Linked DNA regions of Stegostoma tigrinum. The protein of the gene in region 2 purifies or fractionates together with the protein of the main gene of each other region. This does not show direct contact. Links are inferred from orthologs where the notes say so. Each region holds a gene or a part of one and is shown on either strand. Other genes may lie near its edges. The genes, in order: snrpb2, sf3a3, snrpa and sf3b6.

What was found.
Region 1: the proteins of sf3a3 (region 2) and snrpb2 purify together in Homo sapiens (affinity purification with mass spectrometry; 6 studies listed by BioGRID and IntAct, with this or other methods). This does not show direct contact. The link is inferred for Stegostoma tigrinum from reciprocal best matches to the Homo sapiens genes SF3A3 and SNRPB2.
Region 3: the proteins of sf3a3 (region 2) and snrpa fractionate together in Homo sapiens (co-fractionation; 4 studies listed by BioGRID and IntAct, with this or other methods). This does not show direct contact. The link is inferred for Stegostoma tigrinum from reciprocal best matches to the Homo sapiens genes SF3A3 and SNRPA.
Region 4: the proteins of sf3a3 (region 2) and sf3b6 purify together in Homo sapiens (affinity purification with mass spectrometry; 3 studies listed by BioGRID and IntAct, with this or other methods). This does not show direct contact. The link is inferred for Stegostoma tigrinum from reciprocal best matches to the Homo sapiens genes SF3A3 and SF3B6.

Annotation. Positions count from the first base shown.
Region 1 is NC_081371.1:23,725,689-23,732,771, reverse strand, and holds the start of snrpb2 (U2 small nuclear ribonucleoprotein B''), read right to left. Parts: upstream 3,001-7,083; 5' UTR 2,887-3,000; intron 2,626-2,886; exon of another isoform or gene 2,525-2,625; intron 1-2,524. UniProt on the Homo sapiens protein: Involved in pre-mRNA splicing as component of the spliceosome. Associated with sn-RNP U2, where it contributes to the binding of stem loop IV of U2 snRNA.
Region 2 is NC_081377.1:18,061,828-18,068,654, reverse strand, and holds the start of sf3a3 (splicing factor 3A subunit 3), read left to right. Parts: upstream 1-3,809; 5' UTR 3,810-3,878; coding exon 3,879-3,974; intron 3,975-6,827. UniProt on the Homo sapiens protein: Component of the 17S U2 SnRNP complex of the spliceosome, a large ribonucleoprotein complex that removes introns from transcribed pre-mRNAs.
Region 3 is NC_081392.1:9,170,235-9,177,367, forward strand, and holds the start of snrpa (U1 small nuclear ribonucleoprotein A), read right to left. Parts: upstream 3,012-7,133; 5' UTR 2,828-3,011; exon of another isoform or gene 2,521-2,827; intron 2,479-2,520; exon of another isoform or gene 2,215-2,478; intron 1,342-2,214; 5' UTR 1,311-1,341; coding exon 1,238-1,310; intron 37-1,237; coding exon 1-36. Other genes in the region: actmap (actin maturation protease), read left to right, coding at 4,352-4,590, 6,233-6,301, 7,031-7,133. UniProt on the Homo sapiens protein: Component of the spliceosomal U1 snRNP, which is essential for recognition of the pre-mRNA 5' splice-site and the subsequent assembly of the spliceosome. U1 snRNP is the first snRNP to interact with pre-mRNA.
Region 4 is NC_081357.1:122,345,154-122,352,255, forward strand, and holds the start of sf3b6 (splicing factor 3B subunit 6), read right to left. Parts: upstream 3,004-7,102; 5' UTR 2,897-3,003; coding exon 2,867-2,896; intron 1-2,866.

The DNA.
Region 1 (7,083 bases), on a different chromosome or scaffold from region 2:
GTTTGATAAATTTGGTAGCGTTCTTTGGGGATATAACAAGCAGAGTTGAGAAGGGGAACCAAAAGATATAATATGTTTGGATTTCCAGAAAGTATACGATAAGGTGCCCCATAACAGGTTAATTACAGAATCACACAGCATGGAAACAGATTCTTCAGTCTAACTTGCCCATGCCAACCAGATATCTTAAATTAATCTAGTCCCATTTGCCAGAATTTGGCCCATATCCCTCTAAACCTTTCCTATTCACATACCCATCCAAATGCCTTTTAAATGCTGTAATTGTACCAGCCTCCACCCCTTCCTCTAGCAGCTCTTTCCACGTAGGCACCACCCCTTGTTTGAAAAAGTTGCCCCTTAGGTCCCTTTTAAATCTTCCCCCTCCAACTTTAAACCCATGCCCTCTAGTTTTGGACTCCTCCACCCTTGCCTATTCACTCTAGCCATCATTTTATGAATCTCTAAGGACACCCCTCAGTCTCCAATGCTCCAGAAAAAATAGCCCCAGCCTATTCTGCTTCTCCCTCAAACTCTCCAACCCTGGCAACATACTTGTAAATCTTTTCTGAGTCCTTTCAAGGATCACAACATCCTTCCTATAGCAGGGAGACCAGAATTGAATGCAATATTCTACAAGTGGCCAAACCTATATCCTGCACAGCTGTAACACAACCTCCCAGCTGCTATATTCAATGCACCGACCAATAAAGGCAAGCATACCAAACACCTTCTTCAATATCCTATCTGCCTGCCATTCCACTTTCAAGGAATCATGAACCTGCACTCCAAGGTCGCTTTATTCGACAACACTCCCCAGGATCTTACCGTTACGTATATAAGTCTTACCCTAATTTGCCTTTCCAAAATGCAGGGGCTCACATTTGTCTAAATTAAACTCCATCTCCATGACACACAGGGCCATCTGATCAAGGTCCCATTGTACTGTGAGGTAACCTTCTTGGCTGTCCACTTCACCACCAATTTAGGAGTCAATTATCAGTCTGAAAAGCAATTCTTCACCATCACCCTCTGTCTTTCTGTCTTCCACCTTTGAAGCAGTTCTGCATCCAAATGGCTAGTTCTCCCTGTATTCTATGCGATCTAACCTCACTACCAGTCTGCCATGCGGAACCTTGTTGAATCCATTCTGAAGTCCATACAAATCACGTCCAACGCTTTGCCCTCAATTCACTATGTTACTTTTTGAAAGTAGTTCTCAGTACTGGAGGCAATGAATTAAAATGAGAAATGTTGGTTTACATGCAGAAGACAGAGAGAGCCAGGATTAAGGGGACTTTTTCAGGTTGTAAAAGATGCAACTAGTGGAGAGCTGCAGAGTCTCAAATATTATCCATCAAGCTATCAATATTGATGGCTTGGCAGGGTCAAAGTGTAATATATCCAAATTTGCTGATAACACAAATATAGGTAGCAGTGCATATAGTGAAGGCAAAGAATCTGCAAGGGAACAGAGAATGAGAGAGTGGACAAAACCTTGGCAGACAAATTTAATGTAACAAATTATCAGGTCAAAAGGCAGACTATTATTTAAAATGGAGATAGACTCCACAAGACAGCAACATAGGATCTGAAAGCTTTTGCAAATGAAATGCAATAATATAGCACGCAGCTTCGACAAATAATTAAGGCGACAAACAATTTTTGACTCTATTGTTCAGGGTCAGAAGTTAAAAACAGGGAAATTATTACAGCTGGGTACAGGGTGAGGCTGCACATGGAGTACTGTCTTTAGTTTTGGTCCATGTATTCAGGAAAGAATATACTGGCACTGCACGTAGTTCAAAACAGATTTACTAGGCTGATTCCTGGGATCTGGCCTTAACTTATCAAGCAAAGGCTTAGGCCTTTATAGAGTTTAGAAGAACAAGGGCTGATCTAATTGAAACATCTTAGATGGTGGGTGGGCTTGACAAGGTAAGTGTTCAAAAGATTTTACCATTGCTGGGAGAATCACAAACCATTGTCAGGTGTTCTCTGATTCCACAATGGATTTTTAAAGAGATGACTATCCCCCTTTCAGGAGGGTTGTGAATGTCTAGAAATCTCCATCCGAGATAACTGAGCAGGCTAGATGAAAGGGTGTAGGTCAACCCACTTACTACCCCAATAGTAACCCAACTAGTATTTATTTCGGGACTTTTTCCCTTTCTTGTTTACATGCTTCCACACTTTCACTCTTGTTCTCTCAACCTCTCTACTGCATGGAAAAGCAACGTTACGATATCCAAAAACAGAAGAAACATATTTTTTATTTAAATGTAGCTCTGACCTCGCCCATCCATCCCCGAAATTTTGGTCCGCAAACAATTATTTCAAGATGCTCTTAGCCTCCACATGTTAAAACACAAACTCCTCCAAAACTTGGCAACACGTATCCCATCGTAAACTCGGTTCCGCTCACCTCTCACTGTGACCGCGTTACTACGGTGGCTTCTAGACTACTCAATCTAAAATTCCTGTTTAATTCCTTTCTTTAGTTTACCTCTAAGCTCCTACAACTCACCGCACTAATGTTTTCCGACCTTCTCACATACTACATTGCATTCACAGGCTTTCAGCTCACCCCGCCAGGCCCTTCCTCATTCTTCCTTTCGGTTTCAGTTTATTTCTGAACATCTCTGGAAAATGCTACGGGATTACTGACGGCGGGAAAGAGGAGTTGCTGCTTCTAGGTTACTACAAACCAAATACGTAAGGTGGACTACAACCGGCATAGTGTTTCCTCAAACCCGACTGCAACTACACGCCAAACACACTTGGAACACTGGAGACAGCAACCGAGACCAGTTTTCGGTCGGAGAAGCAGACTATTTTATTAAAGTGAGCAGTCCCATTCGCCGACCCCACCGAAGCACAACTCCATACCTACTCCTCACTATCACGCTCACGAGGGTTTTTACTTCTCGATCTTTCTCCGACTCGCGCGACCGACCATCCGCGTCGCGCGTTGATGACCTCTTCAACGCGCGACCAACCATCTGCGTCGCGCGTTGATGACCTCATCAAACCGCCCCGTGCTGTTTTGAGATAATGAAATGTGAGGCTGGATGAACACAGCAGGCCAAGCAGCATCTCAGGAGCACAAAAGCTGACGTTTCGGGCCTAGACTCCATCTCTGATGAAGGGTCTAGGCCCGAAACGTCAGCTTTTATGCTCCTGAGATGCTGCTTGGCCTGCTGTGTTCATCCAGCCTCACATTTTATTATCTTGGAATCTCCAGCATCTGCAGTTCCCATTATCTCTCTCTCTCTCTCTCCCATCTCAATTAGTCCCGTTTATCTCTATTTGGCTCATATCACTATAAACTTTTCCTTTTCATATACCCACCCAAATGTATCTCAAATGTCGTAACTAAACCTGCATCTACCATTTCCTCTGGCAATTCATATGAGTAAGCTAACTGGTGATATAAAAAAGATTGAATCACCAGTATGCTTAAATTCACCCAGCCTCAACGACCCAATATGAAAGTCTACAACGCGTCCTCACCCAAGGAAAGGATTAAAATCTGATGTCCCATCCCCAGTTCACTGTGGAGTGCACCCCCAAAAAAACTACCCCATGACTTACACTCCTTATCTTTCACGTTGCCCCCTTCTGAGCCTTGTTAAATTAGCTTGTCAAATTATCTTGCGACTTTAATATCATGGAATAGACCAATTACTGCCTCAAATAGGGTGTAACTTACAATGCTGATCCTATGCAGAATAAAGAGTGCAGTAGCAATGCAAAGGCGATCGCCACTCATCAGAAGATCCAGCTGTTAGCAAAGGTTGCCAGACCTGGAGAGCATTTCTAGCACTTTGTTTTAGTTTTATATTTCCAACATTAACAGTATTTTGGTTACATAGTGAGCTATGGTTCTCACAGTCCTGAAGATAAAATTCAGTCCTAAGTAATTTTGCAGCTCTCTGAATATCTTCCATCTGAGCGTTCAGTGGTGTCTATTGGTTCAGAGATAGTAGGAACTGCAGATGCTGGAGAATCTGAGATAACAAGGTGTAGAGCTGGATGAACACACAGGCCAAGCAGCATCAGAGGACCAGGAAGGCTGACATTTCCAGAAGGGTCGAGGCCCACAACATCAGCCTTCCTGCTCCTCTGATGCTGCTTGGTCTGCCATGTTCATCCAGCTCAACACCTTGTTATCTCCACTATATTGGTCATTTGTTACATGTTGGTTAATTAAGGATTGACATGTACATAATTGCAAATTTTGATTAGTAAACAATAAATAAATAATAGATGCAAACAGAAAGCAGGTCTGACAGCATCTGTAGAGAGAAAATAGAGTTAGTGTTTTGGGTCCAGTGACCCTTCAGAACCGATCATAGCTAGGAAAAGGTTGGCATTTATGAAGAAGATGAAGTGGGGGAGAAGGGGAAGAGTAAACAACAGGTGGAGTTGGAAACCAAAGACAGACAAAGGAATGGGTAAAGGTCAAACTGGGAGATTGAATAGCTGCTAATGGGAACTATTAGTAGCTGTCAATGAGTTATGCGTTGTCCTTTCCCCAGTTCCCTGGCTGGCAGGGACCTCAGATAGGTCCAGCCCAGCTCCTGCGCTTCAGCTCTCATGCCCTTTCTTCCCACCCACAACAACAGAGTCCGCATTGTCCTCTCCTAACATCCCACGAGAATCCACATCTACAGGATCATAAACAACTGTTCCTGCAACCTCCAGCGAGATGCCACCAGTAGATACATATTCCCTTCCCTGTTACCTCTGGAATACCTTTGTCCACTCCTCCTTCATTCCAAAAATGTACCCGTAGCCCTACGGCACCATCCCCTGCAATTACAGAAGGTGTAGCACCTGCCCATTGACTTACTCCCTCCTCACCATTCAAGGCCCAAACCCACCTTCCAGGTGAACCAGCGCTCACACAATCTAGTCTACTGCATTTGCTGCTCACAATGTAGTCTCCTCCACATTGGGGAAAGAAAGAGCTGACTGAGTGACCACTTTGTTGAACACCTGCATTCTATCCACAAAAAAAACTGAGTTTCCCATTGCCTGCCACTTTAACACTCCAGCCTGCTCCCTAGCCAACATCTCCGTCTCTGACTTGTTGCAGTGCTTCAGCAAAGCTCAGTGCAAGATGGAAGAAAGGCACCTCATTTTCTGCTTGGGAACTCTGCAGCCTTCTGGATTCAATACAGTTCAACAATTTTCGGCCTTGAGCACCTTCTCCTATGTCCTTACCCCAACCCCCACACATCAGGCTTTCCCATCACAGGCTGCTACCACACACAACCCATTGTTAGCTACTAATAGTCACCATTAGCAGCTATTCATTCTTCTAGATTGACCTTTACTCATTCTTTCATCTATCCAACTGTTTCTCTGTCTTTGAGCCCCATCTTCACTTATCATTTCTACTACCCACTACCCCACAACATACAAACAAACCTTTACCTAGCTACCATCATTTCTGAAGAAGGGTCACTGGACCCAAAATGTTAACTCTGCTTTCTCTCCACAGATGCTGCCAGACCTTTTGAGATTTTCCAGCAATTTCTGTTTTTGTTTCTGATCTCCAGCATCGGCAGTTCTTCCGTTTTTTTTGTTAAATGAATAATAGACACTAACTTTCGGAAATGTCATGTCAGTGTTTATAAGGCCATCAAATGGAGCAGCATAAGTAAGCCATTTAGCCCATGACTTTGGTCCGTCACTCGATGAGACCATGGCTAATACAATAATCTTTCATCTTTAAACCCAGATCTGATAACTGTTATGTTCACACAATGGAAGTATGTTTTCTTTAATCTTTTGTTGTTAAAATAGTCAGCCAGAACCAGAGTGTGAATTTTATCCGATCATTGTAAACAGTTTTTTATTTACACTTATATAGTACCTATAAAATAGTAAAATATCACAAGTTGCTTCATACTGAACTATCTATGGGATTAAATGAGGAAAAGATTTTAAGAAGGTTTTAAGGAGAATCTTAAAGAATAAAGAGAGTTGAAGAGGTACAGAGGTTTAGGGCACAATGTTAGTCAAACTCATTGGTAGCACATTCACCATTGAATTAGAAGATTGTTGTCTCAAGTTCCACTCCAGACTTTGAGCAAAAAAACATACTGACATTCAGCGCAGTACTGCTGAACTGGGGGAGTGCTTAAGTGTCAGTAGTGTTGTGTCGGATGAGATCTTAAACACAGGCTGTATTTGCCCTCATATGTGGATGTAAAAAAACTCAAGGCACAATTTCATAGAAGAGTCAATGAAGTTTAGAACATAGAACAGCACAGCACAGAACAGGCCCTTCAGCCCACGATGTTGTGCCGACCATTGATCCTCATGTATGCACCCTCAAATTTCTGTGACCATATGCATGTCCGGTAGAGGAAAAGATAAGTGGAGAAGAATCCCAGACAGAGAAAACACCAGTTGGACAGAAAAAGGAATTGGTAAAGGCTAGTGTGGGAGAATGACTAACTGCTAATGGGGACCATTAGTAGCTGACAATGAAATGGTTGGGGGTGGGGTGGTGTGCACTTAGGCACAAACATTATTGAACTTTATGATAGAGTCCAGAAGGCCACAGGATCGCCAAAGAAAATGTGGTAGTGTTTCAGCAATTTCCTTCAATTTTCCAACAAATCATACAGTTCAAAATCTTCCTTTCCTTCAACTCCAGCACCCCGCCAACCCCAACCCCAACCTCTGTCATGCATTTACTACCCCTTCTGACCTTCCGCTCTCTGAATGTTTTGTACTCAGTAAAGGTCTTAGTTTTATTCCCCTGCACTCCCACCTTCATGCATTACTGATACAATATGACATTGAACTCTTTGTCCATTGCCTATGCCTCTATGCCTATTTCTTTGGACAAGAGTCCTCTTCTGAGGTATTCTGCAAATATTTCTCCCTCAATCAGTATGACAAAGGCAGATGTATTAGTCATCACATTGGCATTTTTGGGAATTTGCTGTTTACAAATTGGCTACTGCATTTTCTCCAACAGCAGCTGCAGTTTAAAAATACTTAATCAGTTGTAAACAATTTGGGTTATCTGGTGTTTACGAAAGGTACTATATAACTGAAAATCCT
Region 2 (6,827 bases):
CTAGAACTTTTTCTAGTAAGAAATTTAAGAACTCTTATGATGGTGGAAATGATTACTGGACTTGGACCCAAGAGACTGGCCTAACATCCTCTGGCAGCAGTTCTCCAGCTCAAGTATTTGTGAAGGTAAAACCGAAGCTGAGCTCAGTACTCACCATCCATAAGGCACCTTTTGTGCCATCTAGTGGTCATTGAATGATTAACCCAAACACTGGATGGGATAAGAAGCACTGTTGAAGCAACGAGCCCCAAGTGTTGGACTCACTGAAAGTTCAAATGAAGAATTTATATGAACTTATAATTCTTTGATAGAAATTTCTGGAAGTGCTGAGGTCTTCCAGCACTTTCTGCTTCCACCACAAAAAAACTGGAAGCACTCGCTTTTCCAATTGGTCTCTTTATGAGGGTGTCACCTGTTAATACCAGACTATGCAGGCAAAAGCTGACACCTGAACGCTTCTTGTAATGTACTTGTAGCATCCCTACCTTTGAGCTAGGAGGCCTAGGTTCAAGTCACACCTGCTCTAGAGTTGTCTAATAATATCTTTGGCCAGGTTTGGTTAGAAAATATAAAAACAACTACCTCCTGTACTAATACAGTGTGGAGCTGGAGGAACACATCAGGCCGGGTAGCATCAGAGGAGCAGGGAGGCTGACATAGGCTTTTCTGAAGAAGTGTCCTGACCCGTAACATCAGCTTTCCTACTCCTCTGATTCTGCCCGTCCTGCTGTGTTCCTCCAGCTCCACATTGTGTTGCCTATGACATTGGCAGTTCTTATTATCTCTGACTCCTGTATTTCCTTATTTAGACATACTTTCCAAACCTGAAGGAAATTATATTCATCCTTAATATTAAAATCATGCAAATTAAAATTAACATTACACACAGATTTTGAGTTATGTTGAAGTGCATCTTAAATTTGATGTTAAGGTACAATGACAGAAGAAATCATTGACACAGACACAAAGCAAAAATTAAAGTAACTGGTGGAATAAAATTCTGACATCCCTTAAAAATTAAAAATAGGCAGATTGGGAAGCAATTCTTCTCTCAAAGTGCAATGAAACTTTGGAACTATTGCTGCCAAAAAGCTGGCTAAGGAGTGGGGTTGGGACGGCCACAGGGTAAACTGGATGCTTGCCTTGGGCAGCATGATTTGGGGAGCTGCAAAAAAAACCCTGCGAGCTTTTTAAATAATTTTGAACTGAAACGCATAATTTTATACAACTTGGTTTCATTGTTGTTGTTTCCTGGGTCAAACACCAGTGCCATTATGATAGGACCTGACAGCTGCCCCGTAATTTAGCTCAGATTATGTTACCACAAAGGTTGGGTTCTTATTGGGACAGATATATTGAAGTTTATTCACAATATTTATTATTTACATAGCTGTAATATTATAAACATAGAAACTGCACAGGTTCTGTACTTTCTGATATTAGCCCATATGTTATACAGATGACAAATTGGCTGAACATACAACCCTGACTCCATGACACAGAAGTAACTGGTAGGTACTGGGACATCATGTATTTGAATGATGTGATGCTTGAAGGCGCACAACATGCCTTGGCCTGGAATCTATGCAATACCAAAACATCGCAATTCACACCCTTGTCTGCAGGGAAAGAACCTGCAATTGCCATCATCTTCCAGCATTACCATATGTTGATATCACATCCAATGTAACATCACCCAATCAAATTCAAACATCTTTAAACATACCATAAAAGCTAAGAGAACAGTGATTGGCTAGGATTCTGGTAGGTTGTGATGTGATTGATGGTGTTTTGAATTTCATTGAGGGGTTGGGTTAGTGTTTTGCAATGGATGTGAGAGGGGATTCATATCATTTTAATCTTTGTTGGGTCAGGGTTTGTTTTTAAGATTTACTGCAGATGGTCTTGCATTATTTTGACTGCGACTAGAAGTTAAACAGCAGAGCTTTAACCAACAGCCAATTCATTGCCTGGGTGTGTCATGTTAGTGATAAATTGACCAATGATAGTTCACTTGTCAAGAGTGACTGGCTCTGAGTGTTGGTCCATCCAAAATAGGAAAACACATTATCACTTATGAAGCAATTCAACTGACCTCTGTGTGTGTGTGTGTGTGTGTGTGTGTGTGTGTGTGTGTGTGTGTGTGTAGTACACACACTACAGCAGACTAATAGATGGGTAAATTTGCCGTATGGTACATTGGTAGAGGAGCGGGTCTGGTGGTTACATAGTCCACCAGAGCTGGAGTGGTGTGGGTGCTGACAAGGCCATAACGGTGTGTGGAGGTGGTTAGCTGCTGTCACAGCTGGTCCAAACTTTGAGTCCCCCACCACCGACGCACCTGAGCAGGGAAGGTACATGTACACATTGGATAAACAAAAAAAAAGCTATAGTGTACTCTGTACTGTGGAATAGTGCTACTTTGAGAAGGTCAGACCCTCGATATGCAAAACTGGGACATGGCATATACAGTTAATGGTAGGACGCTGTAGAGTGTTGCCAAACAAAGAGACCTCGGGGTATCGGTGCATTGTTCCTTGAAAGTGGAGTTGCAGGTGGACAGGGTAGTGAGGAAAGCATTTTGTATGCTTGCTTTCATTGGTCAGAGCATTTAGTGTATGAGTTGGGGTGTCATCCAGCAGCTGTACAGGACATTGGTGAAACCACTTTTGGAATACTGCTTACAATTCCGCTCACCTGTTTATGCAGCATGATTTTGTTAAACATGAGAGGGTGTAAAAAATATTTACAAGGATTTTGCATGGACAGGGGGTTTTGAGTTACAGAGAGAGGTTGAATAAGCAGGGGCTGGACTCTTTTCCCTGGAGTGGTGGAGACTAAGGGGTGACCATATAGAGGTTTATAAAATCATGCAGGGCCTGGATAGGGTGAATAGCCAAGGTTGTTTCCTGGGGCAGGGGGAGGGAGTCATGCAAAAGTAGCGGGCATAGTTTTTAAAGTGAGAGGGCAAAGATTTAAACAAAGATCTGAGGGGTAGCTTTACCATCGGTGTTGCATGAATGGAATGAGCTGCCAGAGGACATGGTGGAGGCAGGTACAATTACAACAGTTCAAAGGCATCTGGACGGTATTTGAATAGGAAGTGTTTAGAGAAATACGGGCCAAATAGTGGCAAATGGCATGAGATTAATTTAGGATATCTGGCTGGCATTGTTTGTTTCTGTGCTATATATCTCTACAACTCTACGTGGGACAAAGTCTTGGGTGAGCTCTGAACAGTGAGAGCAGAAAGCATAGTCACAGTCACTAATGTACTGCAATGGAGGCAGGAGTTGTGAACGAACCTGATTGCAACAAAGAATGTTCCGACTATTGACCAAGTTAATGCAGATATTTCATGAAGTCAACACTCCAGCCTCCGTGGACTGTGCTGTGAGCAAACCAGGATAAAACTCGCAGAAACATCAACATGAAGTAGAAACATGTTTCCTTGAACACTCCTGTGTAACTTAGTTGTGAAACATGTTGTGCGAATCTCACTGAGTTGGGAACTGCTGTCACTTTGGACAAAGCTGATAGACCCAGATGGGTTTCCCACAGCAACTCATTTTATTTGCTGAACAAGAAACAGAAATCACGGGAATGGTGGGATACATTTCCAACAAGGGAAACAAATCGACGTAAAAACACAAACAAATGAACGCAACAGTAAAATATATTGGCAGAAATGAAGCGTTTTCACGGTTGTTTTGCCTCTCTTTTGGGGGGGGGGGGAACGTTTCTCCAGCGGTCGCTGACGGCGGAGGCAGGAACGTGAACACCCCGAATTCCGGAAGGCAAGTCACGTCACGTCCGGCGGTCTGTCCAATCCGGGAGCGGGTCCGTCAGTTTCAGCACGGTCGTCGTGTCCCGCCGCAATGGAGACCATTCTGGAGCAGCAGCGCCGTTACCATGAGGAGAAGGAGCGGCTGATGGATGTGATGGTGAAGGAGATGATGGTGAAGAAGTCCACGGTGAGCGGGGGAGGGCGGTTGTGTTCAGGTTTTCGGCTGCTTCCTCTCCTCCCCCGGGAGGCCGGGCCCCTCAGCCTCGCTGTAGGAAACCCCTGCCCCTCCACCCCCCGGGGGCCCGGGGTCGTACACAGAAAAGCTCATAGTTTTTAAAAAGGGCATCTCAGACTGTTAGACCGTGAAATGTATCGGTGGAATAAGGCCATTCAGCCCCTCGAATCCACCCATCACTCAATGAACACAAAAGCTGGCGATTACAGTGGGTCAGGCAGCATCCACCCACGCCCCTCCACCTCCTCCCGAACTTCCAGTTCCCCGGTCCCCCACATCTCATTTTCACCGTGGACGTCCAGTCCCTATACACCTCCATTCCCGTACAGATGGCCGAAAGGCCCTCGGCTTCTTCCTGTCCCGCAGATCCGACCAGTCCCCCTCCACTGACACCCTCATCCGCTTATCCGAACTCATCCTAACCTTCAACAACTCTTTCAATTCCTCCCACTTCCTGCAGACAAAGGGGATGGCCATGGGTACCTGCATGGGCCCAAGCTATGCCTGCCTCTTTGTACGTTACGTGTAACAATCCCTCTTCCGTAACTACACTGGCCCTAAACCTAATCCCTTCCTCCGTTAAACTGATGACCATATCGGCACCGCCTCCTGCTCCCACGAGGAGCTCGAACAGTTCATCCACTTCAACATCTTCCAGCCCAACCTTAGGTTCACCTGGATCATCTCTAACACCTCTCTCTCTCCTTTCTGACTCCTCTGTCTCCATCTCAGGCAACCACCTCAAAACCAAGATCTGTTTCAAGCCCACATACTCCCACAGCTACGTAGAATACACCCCCTCCCACCCACCTTCCTGCAAAAATGCCAAAGCCATTCTCAATTCCTTTGCCTCCTCCACATCTGCTCCCAGGATGAGGCATTCCACACCTGTACATCTCAGATGTCCTAATTTTTCAAGGACTGCAAACCCCTGTAGTGGTCAAGAATGCCCTCAACCATGTGTCCCGCATTTCATACAACTCATCCCTCACTTCCCACAACTCATCCCTCACACCCCGTCCCCGCAATAATCACCAAAAGAGAATCCCCCTTGTCCTCATGTACCATCCCTCCAACCTCCAGATACAACGCATCAACCTCCGACACTTCTGCCATCTGCCAAAGACCACCTCACCACCAAATTCATTTTTCTCTCCCTACCCTTGTCTACTTTCCAGAGGGATCACTCTCTCTGTGACTCCCTTGTCCGCTCCACACTCCCGTCCAACCCCACCACACCCAGCACTTTTCCCTGCAACCACAGGAAGTGCTACGCCTGCCCCCATCCCTCCTCCCTCACCCCCATCCCAGGTCCCAAGAAGACTTTCCACATCAAGCAGATGTTCACCTGCACATCTGCCAATGTGCTATATTGTATCCAGTGGACCCGGTGTGGCCTCTGCCACATCGGGGAAACCAGGCGGAGACTTGAGGACCAATTTGCAGAATACCTCCACTCGGTTAGCAATAAACAACTGCACCTCCCAGTCATGAACTATTTCACCTCCCCCTCCCGTTCCTTAGACGACATGTCCATCCTGGGCCTCCTGCAGTCCCACATCGATGCCACCTGAAGGTTGCAGGAACAGCAACTCTTGGGAACCTTGCAGCCCAATGCTATCAATGTGGATTCACAAAAAACTAACTGCAACTAACCCCTACTGCATCCCAAAACCAGCCCAGTTCATCCCCGCCTCCCTAACCTGTTCTTCCTCCCACCTATCCCCCGCCTCCCACCTCAAGCCCCACCTCCATTTCCTTCCTACTAACCTCATCCCGCCCCCTTGACCTGTCTGTCCTCCTCAGACTGACCTATCACCTCCCCACCTCTACTGGCTCCATCCCCGCCTCTTTAACTTGTCAGTCTCCTCTCCACCTATCTTCTCCTCTGTCCAACTTCGATCCACCTCCCCCTCTCTCCCTATTTATTTCAGAACCCTCTCCCCCTCTCCCATTTCTGATGAAGGGTCTAGGCCTGAAATGTCAGCTTTTGTGCTCCTAAGATGCTGCTTGGCCTGCTGTGTTCGTCCAGCTCTACACTTTGTTATCCGTGGAATTGCGCACATGCTAACATTTCATGTCCAGATGACTCCTTGATCCCCAGCACTTGTTTTTAGTACAGACTCCAACATCTGCAGTAATTTGCTCCATCACTCTGTGAGATCGTTATCTGACAGTCCATTTCCCTGCCATACTCGATAAACTCCTTATCTCGTGCTGGTCAGAAATCTCTCCAACCTGGCCTGAAATGGATGTTGTAGTGCGGGGAATCCAGGCCAAGTGCTTCAAAGAAATAAACAGGAATTGCTGGAGGAACTCGGCAGGTCTTGCGGCATCTGTGCAGAGAACTGAAAGAACTGTGGACCTGTAAATCAGGAACAAAAACAGAAGTTGCTGGTAAAGCTCAGCAGGTTTGGCAGCATCTGTGAAGATAAAAGTCAGAGTTAATGTTTAGGGTCTGGTGACCCTTCCTCGGAATTGGAAGGGTCACCAGAACTGAAACGCGAACTCTAGTTTTTTGTTTCTTCGTAAGTGCTGCCAGATCTGCTGAGCTTTTCCAGCAATTTATGTTTATGGAGAGAAGTTATGAAGAACAGACACTGGACTCAAAGCTGTGACTATTTCTCTGTCGACCATTGCTGCAAGGCTAACTGAGTTTTTCCAGCATTTTTTTCCAGATTTTTAGCCATTCTTTGTTTTGTTCAGGTGTTTAAAATCTTTGGTTGATTCATTGGACTCAGTGTCATTCCTGAATTCATGTCCATATTGTCCATGTTTTCATTTTTGGAATACGAGTTTGAAAAT
Region 3 (7,133 bases), on a different chromosome or scaffold from region 2:
ACTGGGAAAAAATGGCATACAGCGATTTCTTCAACTCTAGAAAGAGAAGAAACATAACACAATCAACTTCAGTTTCAAATCAGTCACAAGTACAATTGCGACCAGACTTGAACGTGAACTTGAAACCACAATTCAAGTTCATGAATGTCCAGTAAATGCGGTTGATTCATAATGTCATATTGTGCAAAGCCCAGTCAACCTCTTACAAAAACAATACAGAAGATGCAAACAAAGCTTTGCAAGAATGACACCAGAACCATGGTTATAGTTACAAAACAAAGTTATGCTTCATTTATACAGGGCATTGGAGACACCATATTTGGAGAGTGGGTTTTGTGGGTAAGCAAAGTGGAGTTATCAGATCACCCATGATCTTATTGAAAGAATGAACAGACTTTAGGGGTTGAGTGGTTAACTCACACTAAATGATATGTTTGTGTTAGAGATGACTGGCAGACTGGGGCTCTTTTTTCTACAAAGAGGCTAGAGCCAGGGAGGGGTCATCTTTAGCACTATGGTCTTTAACATTTGGGACATATTCAACAAAATAGACAACTGCCTGATTTGAAGGGACTCAACGGCAACTGCTGCAAATCCAGGTACAGTTACAACACAGAGTCATAGAGATGTACAGCATGGCAGCAGATCCTTTGGTCCAACTCGTCCGCGCTGACTAGATACCCTAAATTAATCTAGACCCATTTCCCTGTAAACCGTTCTTGTTCACATACCCTTCAGGATGCCTTTTAAATGTATAAATCAAAAGGCATTTTGACAGGTACATGAATGGGAAAGGTTTAGAGGGATATTGGCCAAAAGGAGTTAGTTGGAACTAGTTCAGTTTGGGAAATTTGGGTCACATGGACGAGTTGGATCAAAGGGCCTGTTTCCATGCTGTACGACTCTATAACAGTCCTTGCATATGGCTGTTGAACACTCCGAAACAACGGGTCATACATGGTACTTATTAATAATTCCAATAAAGAAACTGGGAGAAAGTTGTTTTAAGCTATGCTTAGTCAGAACTTCCCACCGCAGGGATAGTTGAGAGAAATTTCCTTTAAGAAACTAAATAAACATGAGGGGATGAGGAGCAGTTTGTTAAAATTCACTCTCAGTACACACTTTGCTAACTGTGCCAGCATTTATTGTCTTAGACCCCACTAATGCTCTCGAAGTCCCCAACCCAAACATACCCGAATACACTGCTGAACCAGAACTATCCCTGAATACTTGCCATCTTTCTTGATCTTCTCATTCAAATTGTTGATGTAGATGGTGTGGTTTGGACGGGCCTCTTGGGTAGTCATGGCTCTACTCTTGCGCTAACTAAAATTAAAACTGAGGGGGGAAATGAGCACAAGTGAAAGTCAGTCTCATAGATGTCACTCTTCAAAAGAAATAAACCTCTCTCTAACTTCATTATGGCAAATCTCAGAGTTGAACTCAACTCAGAAATCATGAGCTCAAAATCAACAATGGCAAGCTGTGACATTCAATAAATCTTAAAAGGTTTGATAGTCCAGACCAAGGATGATCAGCAGAATTCAACCTGTTCACTGTAGTTCAGCACCACACTCCTTAATTGTTTTAATGGCTGCCTGAACTTCCAAAGCCTCAATGCAGCAGCAACTTCCAGAATTGGAAGTCAATGTCTTGATCAGCAAAACAACACTAATCACTGTGGTTGTATACACACTTTGAGAGGAAATGCTGCTCAGCATGCTAGCATTACATGTGGTTACTGTGCAGAACCAAAGCTGACAAAAGGTGGCTGCCAAACGTATCCATTCTCATCCGCTAACACCGCTCCCAGATTCAAAGGACTGCAGCCCAATGTGTGGCTATAAGTGGTAGAAATGTAAGTCACATCCCTAAATTGCTCTAAAGCAACTCAAGCACACCCCATCCTAGATCCCAAAGTTAAGAGTACGTATTGTCCTTCCTTTGCCCGTTACCCAGAGACAGGATTACTAAACAACCCCTTCTCTCACATCCTTCATCCAAGCTCACCCGCTCTGAGAAGCAAGACAGCCCCTTCTCTCCCCCACCTCTGAGGGAAAGGTCAGCCTACCCCCCTCTCCTTCTGAGAGCTCACACAGCCCCCTCTGTGCACGAACATAAAAAACAGGCGGAGGCCATTCGGCCCTTCAAGCCTGCTGCACAATTCTCTACAACCACATCTGATCATCAAACTCTACAACCTGACCCTACCTTTCCCTCCCCATGTCCTTTGATCCCTTTAGCCCAAATCACCAAATCCAACTCCTTCTTGAAACGTAGTATTTTGGCCTGTTTTCTGTACCACAGAAAACCACAGTAGTAGCAGTCTGCGGGTGGAGGAATTTCTCATCATCTCAGTCTCCTCTGGCATACGCTGTATCCTTAGACGCCCACCCATCAACTCAACCTCTCTCACATTCCTTTAGCCACTCAGCCCTCCCTTTTGCCTTACCACCCTTCACCCTTTACCCCTGGCCTACTCTCTCCCTCTCAGCCAACCCTCCGCCCTCTCTTTACCTCCATCGGCCCTGAACCGGAAGCTACCGCCCGTCGGCGGAAGCTTTAACCCGTGGTTCCGCCGCAGGCTGCTCCGTACGAACCTGGTGAGACCGCGGCTCTAAAGAACCGACCGTGCGACGCGATGCGAGCTCCCGCACACAGAGACGATCAGGCTAACTGCGGGCGGCCGCCGGCTCTAAACGCTGGGGGATGGCAGCGGATGGTCGCGGGCCCTAACCGCCAGCACCGCGCGCCACGACGGAAGTCCAACCCCCTCACCCCGCGGCCAGCTCCCATTGGCCGGCCCTGGTGCGGGGCCGCTCACCGATTTGTCCGCGGTCCCGTCAATCAGACGAAGGCGGGAGGGTCGGTGTCCCCGCGGGACCCGGATGGTTTCCCCAGCTAATAAAATGTGAGGCTGGATGAACACAGCAGGCCAAGCAGCATCTCAGGAGCACAAAAGCTGACGTTTCGGGCTCCGGCGGGGAGTGAGAAAGGACAGAAACAGAAACAGAGATCGAGAAGGAGCGGCTAAGAGGGCGGGAGAGGGGAATCAGTGACTCGCTAACGGTCTGGGTCCATTCAACAGCACAGACCCGATCTGAGAGAACTGATTGGACTAGACCGGTGTCAATCAAATTGGCCATTCCACCGTGGCCAATCGCGGGATGTAGAGTGGGATTCAGGGACGGAATGTTCTAGAACGTGTTCAGTAATTCCCGACCCTCCGCTTTCCTAAGTACCCCACACACACTTGCATCCATCCTATCCCCCAATTACTTTATTCCCCTATCCGACACTCCCCAACACCAAACACCTCAAATAACCCCAACCCACCTCAATCCCCTCCCTCTCCCCAAAAACCATTCCACCCCATCACCAATCGCCCTCCAACCTCCCCAGCGATCCAACTCCAATCTCACCCCAAAAGCCACCTTACCAACTATTCCCATCCCTCAGTTACATCCCAAACTACTCCAACCATTCCACCCCTCCCCAAACTGCACAGTCCAATCCCACAATAAAAATCACACCTCACCCCAAAGTGCCCCGTTACTCTCCACAATACCCGAATCACTCCACTCTACCTAACTATACAACCCCAATCATCCCACCCTGCCTCCAACACCTCAAAATACCCCTGCCTCACCCCTTCACAACTACTCCATCCCTCAAATGATTTCATTTTCCCTGACCATCCCTAATCGACCCCTTCCCTAACTACTGTTTCTCCATCCAGCCATCCCATTCCCTAATTACTTCATCCCCAAATTACCCCATGTCCCATACCAGTTCTACCTCAACTGACCCAGCTTCCAACCACTGTTCGCCCACTCTTCTGTGTTGATTTCTTTTCTGCAAATCCAGTCCTTGTTACAACTAGCACTATTCCCTGCTATCTAACCCTTTATAAATCTGTGCTGGCTCTATGCTCAGAAATTTTGAATTTGTGGATTCAGGCAATTTATTGACAGCAGATAGTAACGGGTCTGTGATTTCCTGATGGACCTCACATCATTTTTCTTAAATTGTTGAATGTCATGCAGTTATTCCATGCCCCCCTTCTCCCTCAACATGGAGTCTTCATTACTCCCACTGAGACTACTTTCCCAAATCCTCCACCACTCACCCCATCTCCTGCCCCTAACTCCCCCATTAAATATAAAAGACAAATATTTTCTGGAACAATAAGTGATAAATGATAATGATTTTTTTTCCTCCAAGGCAAATATTACAACAGTATCTCTGACCCTTGGTGTACTAGTTACTGAGGCAACTTACTCGTAAAAATTGTTGTGGGATGCTCCAATTTATCAAGTCAAAGCCAAACGTTAAATAGTGGGCTGCCATGTCCCACCTCCATCATGTTGAAATGGCACAAGGAGAGCAAAATCTCATCAGTGACACATCTGATGGTACAGACTATTTGTCAGTCCCTCCTCCTCCTCCCCCCCTCCCTCCACCCTTTCTGTCCCCTCCTTCTGAACCATCACAAAATAAATTATACCAGATTTTTGCTCAAGACCGATTACCAGTAACTGGAGACTGGGAGGAGGTGAAGTTGCTGGTCCAGAGCAGGCCTAACAGGTATATAAAACTAAAAATTATGAGCCATGTTTGTCACAGTTGTTTAAATAAGAGCAAGATTCTGGAGATGCTGGAAACCTGAAACACAAGAAGTGCTGGAGAAACCTAGCAGTTCTGGCAGCATATGGGTGGCATAGTGGCCTCACAGCGACAGGGACCTGGATTCGATTCTAGCATTGGGTGACTGTCTGGAGTTTGCATATTCTTCCCCATGTCTGCATGGGTTTCCAGTTTCCTCCCACTGGCCAAAGACATGCAGTTTAGATGGATTGGCCATGCTAAATTGCCCATAGTGTCCAGACATGGATTAGCTATGGGAAATGGAGGGATAGGCGAGGTCTGGGTGGGATACTCTTTAAATGGTTTTTAAGGTCTTAGCGAAAATTTGTAGCTCGGGTTGTGGATGCAGTTGTTCATTAGCGCACTGAGCTGGTTGTTCTGTGGTGTGCAGACATTCTGTTACCCTTCTAGGCAACATCATCAATGTGATTTCTAATTGAAGCAATGGTGTTCTGCTTCCTTCCGCATGTTAATGAACAACTGCATCTTTGGAGGGTTGATGTGGCTTCAGTTGGCCGAATGGCCTGCATCCATATTGTAGGGATTCTGTAATCTGTAGAGAGACACAATTAACATTTCAAGTGTAGTACAACTTCCTAAAAACATCTCTGAGAAGTCAAACACAGTCGAATAACTCTGCGGTCAAAACTCAGGAAAGAGATCTAGGATTGTCGGTACAGCTATGTGTTGGAGTTTGGTCTTCAGGTACGTCCTAGGGGCTGAGAGACCTTGGAAAAAGCCACGTGCCATTAATATTTCAATACAGTTGTGAGCAAGGTTATGGAAACCCACAAGTAACACTTTGTACAACTGACAAATGTTAGAGCTCAGGAAAAATAAATCAAGGGCGGTACTAACTTGATAAAGCTAGCTGTCCACGAAAAAAGATGCATTTGCACCTGTGACGATGCTAGAGTGTGGTTTCCAGAATCCAGAGGAGTGTCACTCCTGGAACAGGTGGTGAGCTACCAGAAACTGAGCAATCATTGAGGCAATGCATGATGGAGTAGTTTTTGATGTACTTTAAAGGCCAGTTCTTCAACAGTGAAGTCTTAAAATGAGACTTAGTAACCCACAATGTCACTGACATCCTGAGAGCGGGGAGGGGTGGGTAGGTAGTTGCTGAGTAATCCATGGGATCTGACTCAATCACTTTTGATGTTTACATTTACACTTTTGTCTGAGTAAGTTTTATTTGTAATAAACTAGGTATTAATTGTTAACTTAAGAAACTGGCTGAATTATTTCTAGCACTAAGTCAGATACAATGTAAAGCCTATTGAATTGGCCATATCACCACACAGTTTAAAATTCATTATGACCAGTGGAGGAGTGGGACTAAAGGGAAATTGATGCCCCGCTCCAATCTTGGTTGTAACACTCTGTATACTGTGCGAAGTTAATGGCTTGGCCAAGTTACTGCCCTCTTATAGACTAAGCAATGCATCCTTTATGTGTTATTATAGGTTAACAGTGCATCCTCATGTACTATTGCAGTTTAATATCAGAGCCCAAGTGTGCTATCAAGTGATAGATTCTTTTCCAATGGCTGAACATTTTTCTGATTTTCTCATATTTCCAGCTTCAACAAAGATTTGCAATGGCTCCTTATTAATAAATATGTACCCTCGCTGATCCAGGATGGTCCACAGTAAGTATCTAATTCTGGTTTCTCTACATTGGTGCATACTGGCAGAAATGGGGGCACAGAGGCTCAGCGGTTAGCACTGCTGCCACACAGTGCCTGGGACACAGGTTCAATTCTATCCTAAGGCAACTGGAACTTGCACATCCTCCCCGTGTCTACATGGTTTCCCGCCAGGTACTCCACTTTCCTTCCACAGTCCCGAGATGTGCAGGTTAGGTGGATTGGCCATGCTAAATTTCCCATTGTGTTCAGGGATGTGCAGGCTAGGTGGGTTAACAACAGGAAATGCAGGATTACAGAGATAGGGTAGAGGGAATGGGCCTGGGTGGAATGCTCTTCAGAGGGTCTATGTGGACTTGTTGGGCTGAATAGCCTGTTTCCACACTGTAGGGATTCTATGAAATAGAAAATGTTGGCAATGTCTGGCATCACCTCTGGTGGAACAGATTTAATGTTTCTGTTCCATGACCTTTCATCAGAACACGGGTAGTTTTTCTGTTTTTCTCTCACCTATAAATGCTGCCTTCCATAATCTGCCAAGTGTGGGTGCTTTTTCCCTGTGTCCTAGCCAATATTCAACCTTCAACTAATTCCCAAAGCAGATTGACTGCCATTCATCTCATGCCTGCATGTGAGATTGCATTGTGTGCTGTGCTGTGGACCTTTCTTCTGCCTATAAACTGCAATTGCTTTCTCAGTCACCACTGCTCCTTGTATTTTATTGTGATTCAGGTGTGGACTGGTGGCTCTATGGATGGCCGGACATTTGCTGAACATGTGTGAGGTGCAGGGTCTGCAGGAGATAGTGGACTGTGCGAAGGCCAGAGGGTATACT
Region 4 (7,102 bases), on a different chromosome or scaffold from region 2:
GGGGGGATTCGGGGGAGGGGGAGGGGGGATTCGGGGGGATTCGGGGGAGGGGGAGGGGGGATTCGGGGGAGGGGGAGGGGGGATTCGGGGGAGGGGGAGGGGGGATTCGGGGGAGGGGGGATTCGGGGGAGGGGGAGGGGGGGATTCGGGGGAGGGGGGATTCGGGGGGGAGGAGGGGGGATTCGGGGGGGGGAGGGGGGGATTCGGGGGGGGAGGGGGAGATTCGGGGGGGGGGAGATTCGGGGGGGGGGAGATTCGGGGGGGGAGATTCGGGGGGGGGGAGATTCGGGGGGGGGAGATTCGGGGGGGGGGGGATTCGGGGGGGGGAGATTCGGGGGGGGAGATTCGGGGGGGGGAGATTCGGGGGGGGGGAGATTCGGGGGGGGGGAGATTCGGGGGGGGGAGATTCGGGGGGGGGGAGATTCGGGGGGGGGAGATTCGGGGGGGGGAGATTCGGGGGGGGGAGATTCGGGGGGGGGAGATTCGGGGGGGGGAGATTCGGGGGGGGAGGGGGGGATTCAGGGGGGGGAGGGGGGAGGGGAGGATTCGGGGGGGGGGAGGGAGGATTCGGGGGGGGGGGAGGGGGGATTCGGGGGGGGGAGGGGGATTCGGGGGGGGGAGGGGGGATGGGAGGATTCGGGGGGGGGAGGGAGGATTTGGGGGGGAGGGAGGATTCGGGGGGGGGGGATTCGGGGGGGAGGGGGGATTCGGGGGGGAGGGGGGATGGGAGGATTCGGGGGGGAGGGGGGGGAGGATTCGGGGGGGAGGGGGGGGAGGATTCAGGGGGGGAGGGGAAGATTCGGGGGGGAGGGGACGATTCGGGGGGGGGAGGGGACGATTCGGGGGGGGGAGGGGACGATTCGGGGGGGGAGGGGGGATTCGGGGGGGGAGGGGGGATTCGGGGGGGGGAGGGGAGGATTCGGGGGGAGGAGGATTCGGGGGGGGAGGGAGGATTCGGGGGGGGGAGGGGGGGGGAGAAAGAGGATTCGGGGGGGGAGAGAGGATTCGGGGGGGGAGAGGATTCGGGGGGGGAGGATTCGGGGGGGGGAGGATTCGGGGGGGGGAGGATTCGGGGGGGGAGGATTCGGGGGGGGAGGATTCGGGGGGGGCAGGATTCGGGGGGGGCAGGATTCGGGGGGGGCAGGATTCGGGGGGGGCAGGATTCGGGGGGGGGAGGATTCGGGGGGGGGAGGATTCGGGGGGGGGAGGATTCGGGGGGGGGAGGATTCGGGGGGGGGAGGATTCGGGGGGGGGAGGATTCGGGGGGGGGAGGATTCGGGGGGGGGAGGATTCGGGGGGGGGAGGATTCGGGGGGGGGAGGATTCGGGGGGGGAGGATTCGGGGGGGGGAGGATTCGGGGGGGGAGGAGGGGAGCGGAGGATTCGGGGGGGGAGCGGAGTGTGGGGGAGCGGAGTGTGGGGGTGGGGAGTGTGGGGGTGGGGAGTGTGGGGGTGGGGAGTGTGGGGGTGGGGAGTGTGGGGGTGGGGAGTGTGGGGGTGGGGAGTGTGGGGGTGGGGAGTGTGGGGGTGGGGAGTGTGGGGGTGGGGAGTGTGGGGGTGGGGCGTGCGGCTCGTGAGGGACAATCCTATTCTGCCAAGGGGACGCCCTTGGGGGGGGGATATTCGGGGGGGGGGAGCAGATTCGGGGGGGGGGGAGATTCGGGGGGGGGGAGATTCGGGGGGGGGAGATTCGGGGGGGGGAAGATTCGGGGGGGGGAAGATTCGGGGGGGGGGAGATTCGGGGGGGGGGAGATTCGGGGGGGGGGAGATTCGGGGGGGGGGGAGATTCGGGGGGGGGGGAGATTCGGGGGGGGGGAGATTCGGGGGGGGGAGATTCGGGGGGGGGAGATTCGGGGGGGGGGGGAGATTCGGGGGGGGGGAGATTCGGGGGGGGGAGATTCGGGGGGGGAGATTCGGGGGGGGGAGATTCGGGGGGGGGAGGGGGGGATTCAGGGGGGGGGGAGGGGGGATGGGAGGATTCGGGGGGGGAGGGGGGATTCGGGGGGGGAGGGGGGATTCGGGGGGGGAGGGGGGATTCGGGGGGGGAGGGGGGATTCGGGGGGGGAGGGGGGATTCGGGGGGGGGAGGGGGGATGGGAGGATTCGGGGGGGGAGGGAGGATTCGGGGGGGGGGAGGGAGGATTCGGGGGGGGGGAGGGAGGATTCGGGGGGGGGGAGGGAGGATTCGGGGGGGGGGAGGGAGGATTCGGGGGGGGGGAAGGGAGGATTCGGGGGGGGGGAGGGAGGATTCGGGGGGGGGAGGGAGGATTCGGGGGGGGGGAGGGAGGATTCGGGGGGGGGGAGGGGGGATTCGGGGGGGGGAGGGGACGATTCGGGGGGGGGGAGGGAGGATTCGGGGGGGGAGGGAGGATTCGGGGGGGGAGGGAGGATTCGGGGGGGGAAGGATTCGGCGGGGGGGGGGAGGATTCGGGGGGGGGGAGAGGATTCGGGGGGGGAGAGGATTCGGGGGGGGGAGAGGATTCGGGGGGGGGGAGGATTGGGGGGGGGGAAAGGATTCGGGGGGGGAGAGGATTCGGGGGGGGGGAGGATTCGGGGGGGGGAGGATTCGGGGGGGGGAGGAGGGGAGCGGAGGATTCGGGGGGGAGCGGAGGATTCGTGTGGGGGTGGGGAGTGTGGGGGTGGGGAGTGTGGGGGTGGGGAGTGTGGGGGTGGGGAGTGTGGGGGTGGGGCGTGCGGCTCGTGAGGGACAATCCTATTCTGCCAAGGGGACGCCTCACTGGAGGTGAGCGTGTAGCCCGGCTTCGGGGCTGAACGTACGACGGACGGAAGATCGAATGGAGCCGGCAGTCGGTTGGGGGAAAGGCCGGGGGCGTGGCGCGGTCAACGACTAAAGAGAAGCGGACTCACGTTCGCCCTTTTCGCCGCTTGCATCGCCATCGCGACCGGTCTGTAGGAACAAGAGGCCGAGCACACAGGGCCGATCAGAGCGCGCAGGAAACCTCACCGCGGCGACGCAACAGCGTACTGGCGTCACAGACCCCTTGCGCCCTGGCGTCATACGCACCCGTCTGCCACGTGCTCCGGGGAGTTGCCCAGTTCCAAGGGGTCACCAGGAGGTCACAGAGGTTCAGGTTTCCAGGTCAATGTAGCTGCAGGGAGTCCCAGGAGTGCCCTTTCCCAGTGGGATTACCCGCGGTGCAGCATGTCCCTGCAACACTCCCTTTGGCAATGAGTGTTCCGAGGCACTGTTTGCTCCTGGGGTATTAGCCATTCCTGCGTGCAGGGTTATCCTGGGCACTGGGGATATTCCTGGGGCAATCGCTGAACACTGACTGTATCAGCCACAGCTGGCATACCTGCAGTTGGGGCCCAAGACCAGGGATCGAAGGCACGCACCAAGTTCAAATTGGTGGCAAGTCTCCACAGCGTGGTGATTTTACAAAGCTTCACAAGGGCTCTTAGCGTCTTTCTCTCAGAAGAGAATCAGTGACAATTCTTTGAATCCGTTCCAATAGCTGAAGTTCCCGATTCCTGGAACCACTCATAATATTGCTTCTGCATTCTTTTCCAGACAGGCACGTTCTTCCTATGGTGGGGTATCCACGTCAATATGCAATGCTTCCTGCTCACTCTACTGAATTCGCTGCCATTTTCAAGTTCTACACCGACCTCCTCAGAGTACAACTCTTTCAAGTTTTGTGTTATTTGCAAACTTTAAAATTGTTCACTTAACACCAAGATTTACATCACTAATATTTGTTTTTAAAAAAAAGCCAGGGACACAATATTGACTACAGGGAATTCCACTGCAGACCTTCTGCCAGTTTGAAAATTAGCCATTGACTATTACTTTTTGTTTCCTACCACTTGGCTGATTTTATATCCATATTGCAACTGACCTTTTTATTCCTATGACCTATATTTTCCTCAAAAGTCTGTTGTCTGGCACGGTATGATATGCCTTCTGAAAGTCCAATACACCACAATGACAGTATTGCCCTCATTGAGCTTTTCTGTTACCTTTTCAAAAATCACCAATGTTAGTCAACCATGTTTTCCCTTCAGAAATCTATACTTACTTTACCTAATCAAACCATCTTTTTTCCATGTGACCACTAATTCTATCGAAAATAATAGTTTTGGAAGCTTCTCAACTCCTAAGTCATGGATAAACTGACTGGTCTGTAATGCTGGGCTTATCCTTACAACCATTCTTGAATAAGATCCTAGTGTTTGCAAATCTCTAATTTTCTGTTACCTCTCCCAAATCTAAGGAAGCCTGAAAGATTATACAATTTACACTCTTATATCCTTCAATATCTTTGAATGCATCTCATCTAGTGTTGGTACCTTGTCAACTCCAAGTACCAACCATCTATCCAACACTTCTTCCTTAGCAATATTGAACCCTTTTGGTGATTGATCTTTTTCCTTTTTCACTGGCCTGGGGAGCATCTTCCAGTTTTTCCCGTCAACCACTCGTTCTATTCCAACCTGTCCAGTTCAATTCTTGCCCCACTAAAGTTGGCTCTCTGCCAATTAATTTTTCTTACTCTGGTTGACTAATGGCATTCTTCACAATCATTTATAACCTTGTGATAAAATGATCACGGTCTCCTAGATAAAAACCAAAAGAACTGCGGATACTGTAAATCAGGAACAAAAACAAAGTTGCTGGAAAAGCTCAGCAGGTCTGGCAGCATCTGTGGGGGAGAAAACAGAGTTACATTTCGGGTCCAGTGACCCTTCTTCAGAACTGTCTCCTAGATGTCTGTCACTGACATTGGATCGACTTGGCCCACCCAAGTTTCAAGAACCAGATCCAACATTGCATCATTCCTTGTTGGATTGGACACATTCTGGTGTTGGGAATACTTGCCCTTCCTGCCCCTTAACACGACCAAATCCCGGCCTAAATTTGTACAACTGAAGTCCCTGATCATAACTGCTCTGTAATGTTGGCATCTCTCTACAATTTCCATGCATATTTGTTCTTTCTTTAGTTGGATATAAACTACACTAGCAGTGTATCCTTTTTGTTCGATGTAGTTAAATGGATACTGTCCTTGAACCCATCAAGAGTCCACTTTTTCCAGCACTACAAAGTTTCTTCTTAACCAAATCTGTCTCCCTCCCTTTTCTATGTTTTCCAAACACCCTGTACTCTGGAAGATTTACCAGCGAATCTTGCCCTGCACTTGAGCTAGGTCTCTGTTACAGCCAAGAGAATCAAATTTCCACTTGGAAATCTATGCCAGTAACTGCCCAATTTACGATAATCCTTACATTTACCTCTATGTGCAGTAACTGATTTTGCTGCCAGTGTTACAGACTTTCCTTGATGACCGATAGCATAAGCCACAAACCTGTGTGCTCCCACATGCAGCCCGCAGGGCACCATCCTGCACTATGTGCTACCTCCACTGTTGCACCCCGTACTACTGAATTGGAGTAAGAGATTGGTCAGGGCAGGGATGGTGGGGTCGTGGGGAGGTGGGATGGGAGGAGTAGGAGAAGTCTGAAAGTTAGACTGGAGGTTAGTGTGGAAGTAAGGGGAGAGGAGCGTCAGAGCTGCTGTCTCTGCTGTTTGTAGTGTGCACAAGTAATTAAATGTTTCTGTATTATGTATTCTGAAGAGTTAGCAGAAAAATAATACCAGACTCAATCCGTTAGGAGCACTGTGTCCAGTTCTGGCCACCCTGTCATAGGAAGGATTTATTAAACTGGAGAAGGTTCAGAAATGATTTACCAGGATGTGGCCAGGAATGGAAGGTTAAAGTTATAAGGAGAGGCTGGATAGGCTGAAACTTCTTTCACTGGAGCGTAGGAGGTGGTGGGGTGACCTTATCGAGGTTTATAAGATCGTAAGGAGCATAGATAAGGTGAATGACAAGGGTCTTTTCCCTAGGGTGGGGGAGTTCAAGGCTATGGGGCATATTTTTAAGTGAGAGGGGCAAGATTTAAAAAGGACAAGAGAGGCAATTATTTTACACAGAGAAAGTTTTGTGCGTGGAATGAATTTTGAGAAGAAGTGGTAGTTGTGGGTACAGTTATAATGTTTCAAAGACATTTGGATAAGTACTTGAATAAGAACGGGCTGGAGGGATATGGGCCAATCGCAGGCAAGTGGGACTAGTTTTTTTGGGATTATTGTCAGCATGGACTTGTTGGGTCAAATGGTTTGTTTCCATGCTGTATGACTTTATGACACTCCACAGATGCTGTCAGATCTGCCGAGTCTCTCTAGCACTTTCTGTTTTATCATGGGTTGAGGTACATGTTGAGTTCATATGTAGTGGGGGAACAGTTAATGGCATTCATTCACAATAAGACACAACATAATATTATCCAGAGTTCACACTTGTGTTATTTTCATATTTCCCTTGATTGGTGACTGCACTGTTTTAGGTGCATTCAGGTATACTTACTGCCGTTTATGGACTGCAGCTTACCGATTTTAATGTTCATAAACATGCAATGTGGAGACGTGGGCTATTAAGATTATGGATCACCACTAGATATGTTAAACTTTTAAATACACCATTTTTTGAAGAGTGGTTATAGCTAAAACGACTGAGAATATAACTTCTATGCAATGTAAGGCTGTGATATTTCTGGTAAGCCTGTGTGGGTTATCCTTCGTATTGAAGGAAACCCACAAATGTCACAACTGATGAGTGTCAAGAAAGTTTCAAAGAGAAGGACTTCAAAAGGACAAAAAGGACTACAAATTGAACTATATTCCAGCCTGTAAACATGACAGGAGAGAGCAGTATGGGTGAGAAACATATTTGGATTTTCCTCTTTCATGAATATACAAACAATTAAATACCGATTCCAACACTAGTTTATGTGTTCCAGTGTGTGAAGGTGTGTTCAGTGACGACCACAGCTGTGAAAACCTTGAGTCACCCTTGAATTTAAGGTAAAATGAAAATAAGTCTCCTTTGCTAGAAAATAGAAAGCAGGCAAAGAAATGGAACAGGAAAACGGATGCTGAGCTGCTGAAAAACCAAGTATCTCAAAATCACCAGTTCGTCTACCAATATCAGTGCTTCTTGTATTGCAGAAAATAGGAGCAGGAGTTGGCCATTCAGCCCACTTCTCCATTTTATATGATTATGGCTGATCATCCAACTCAGT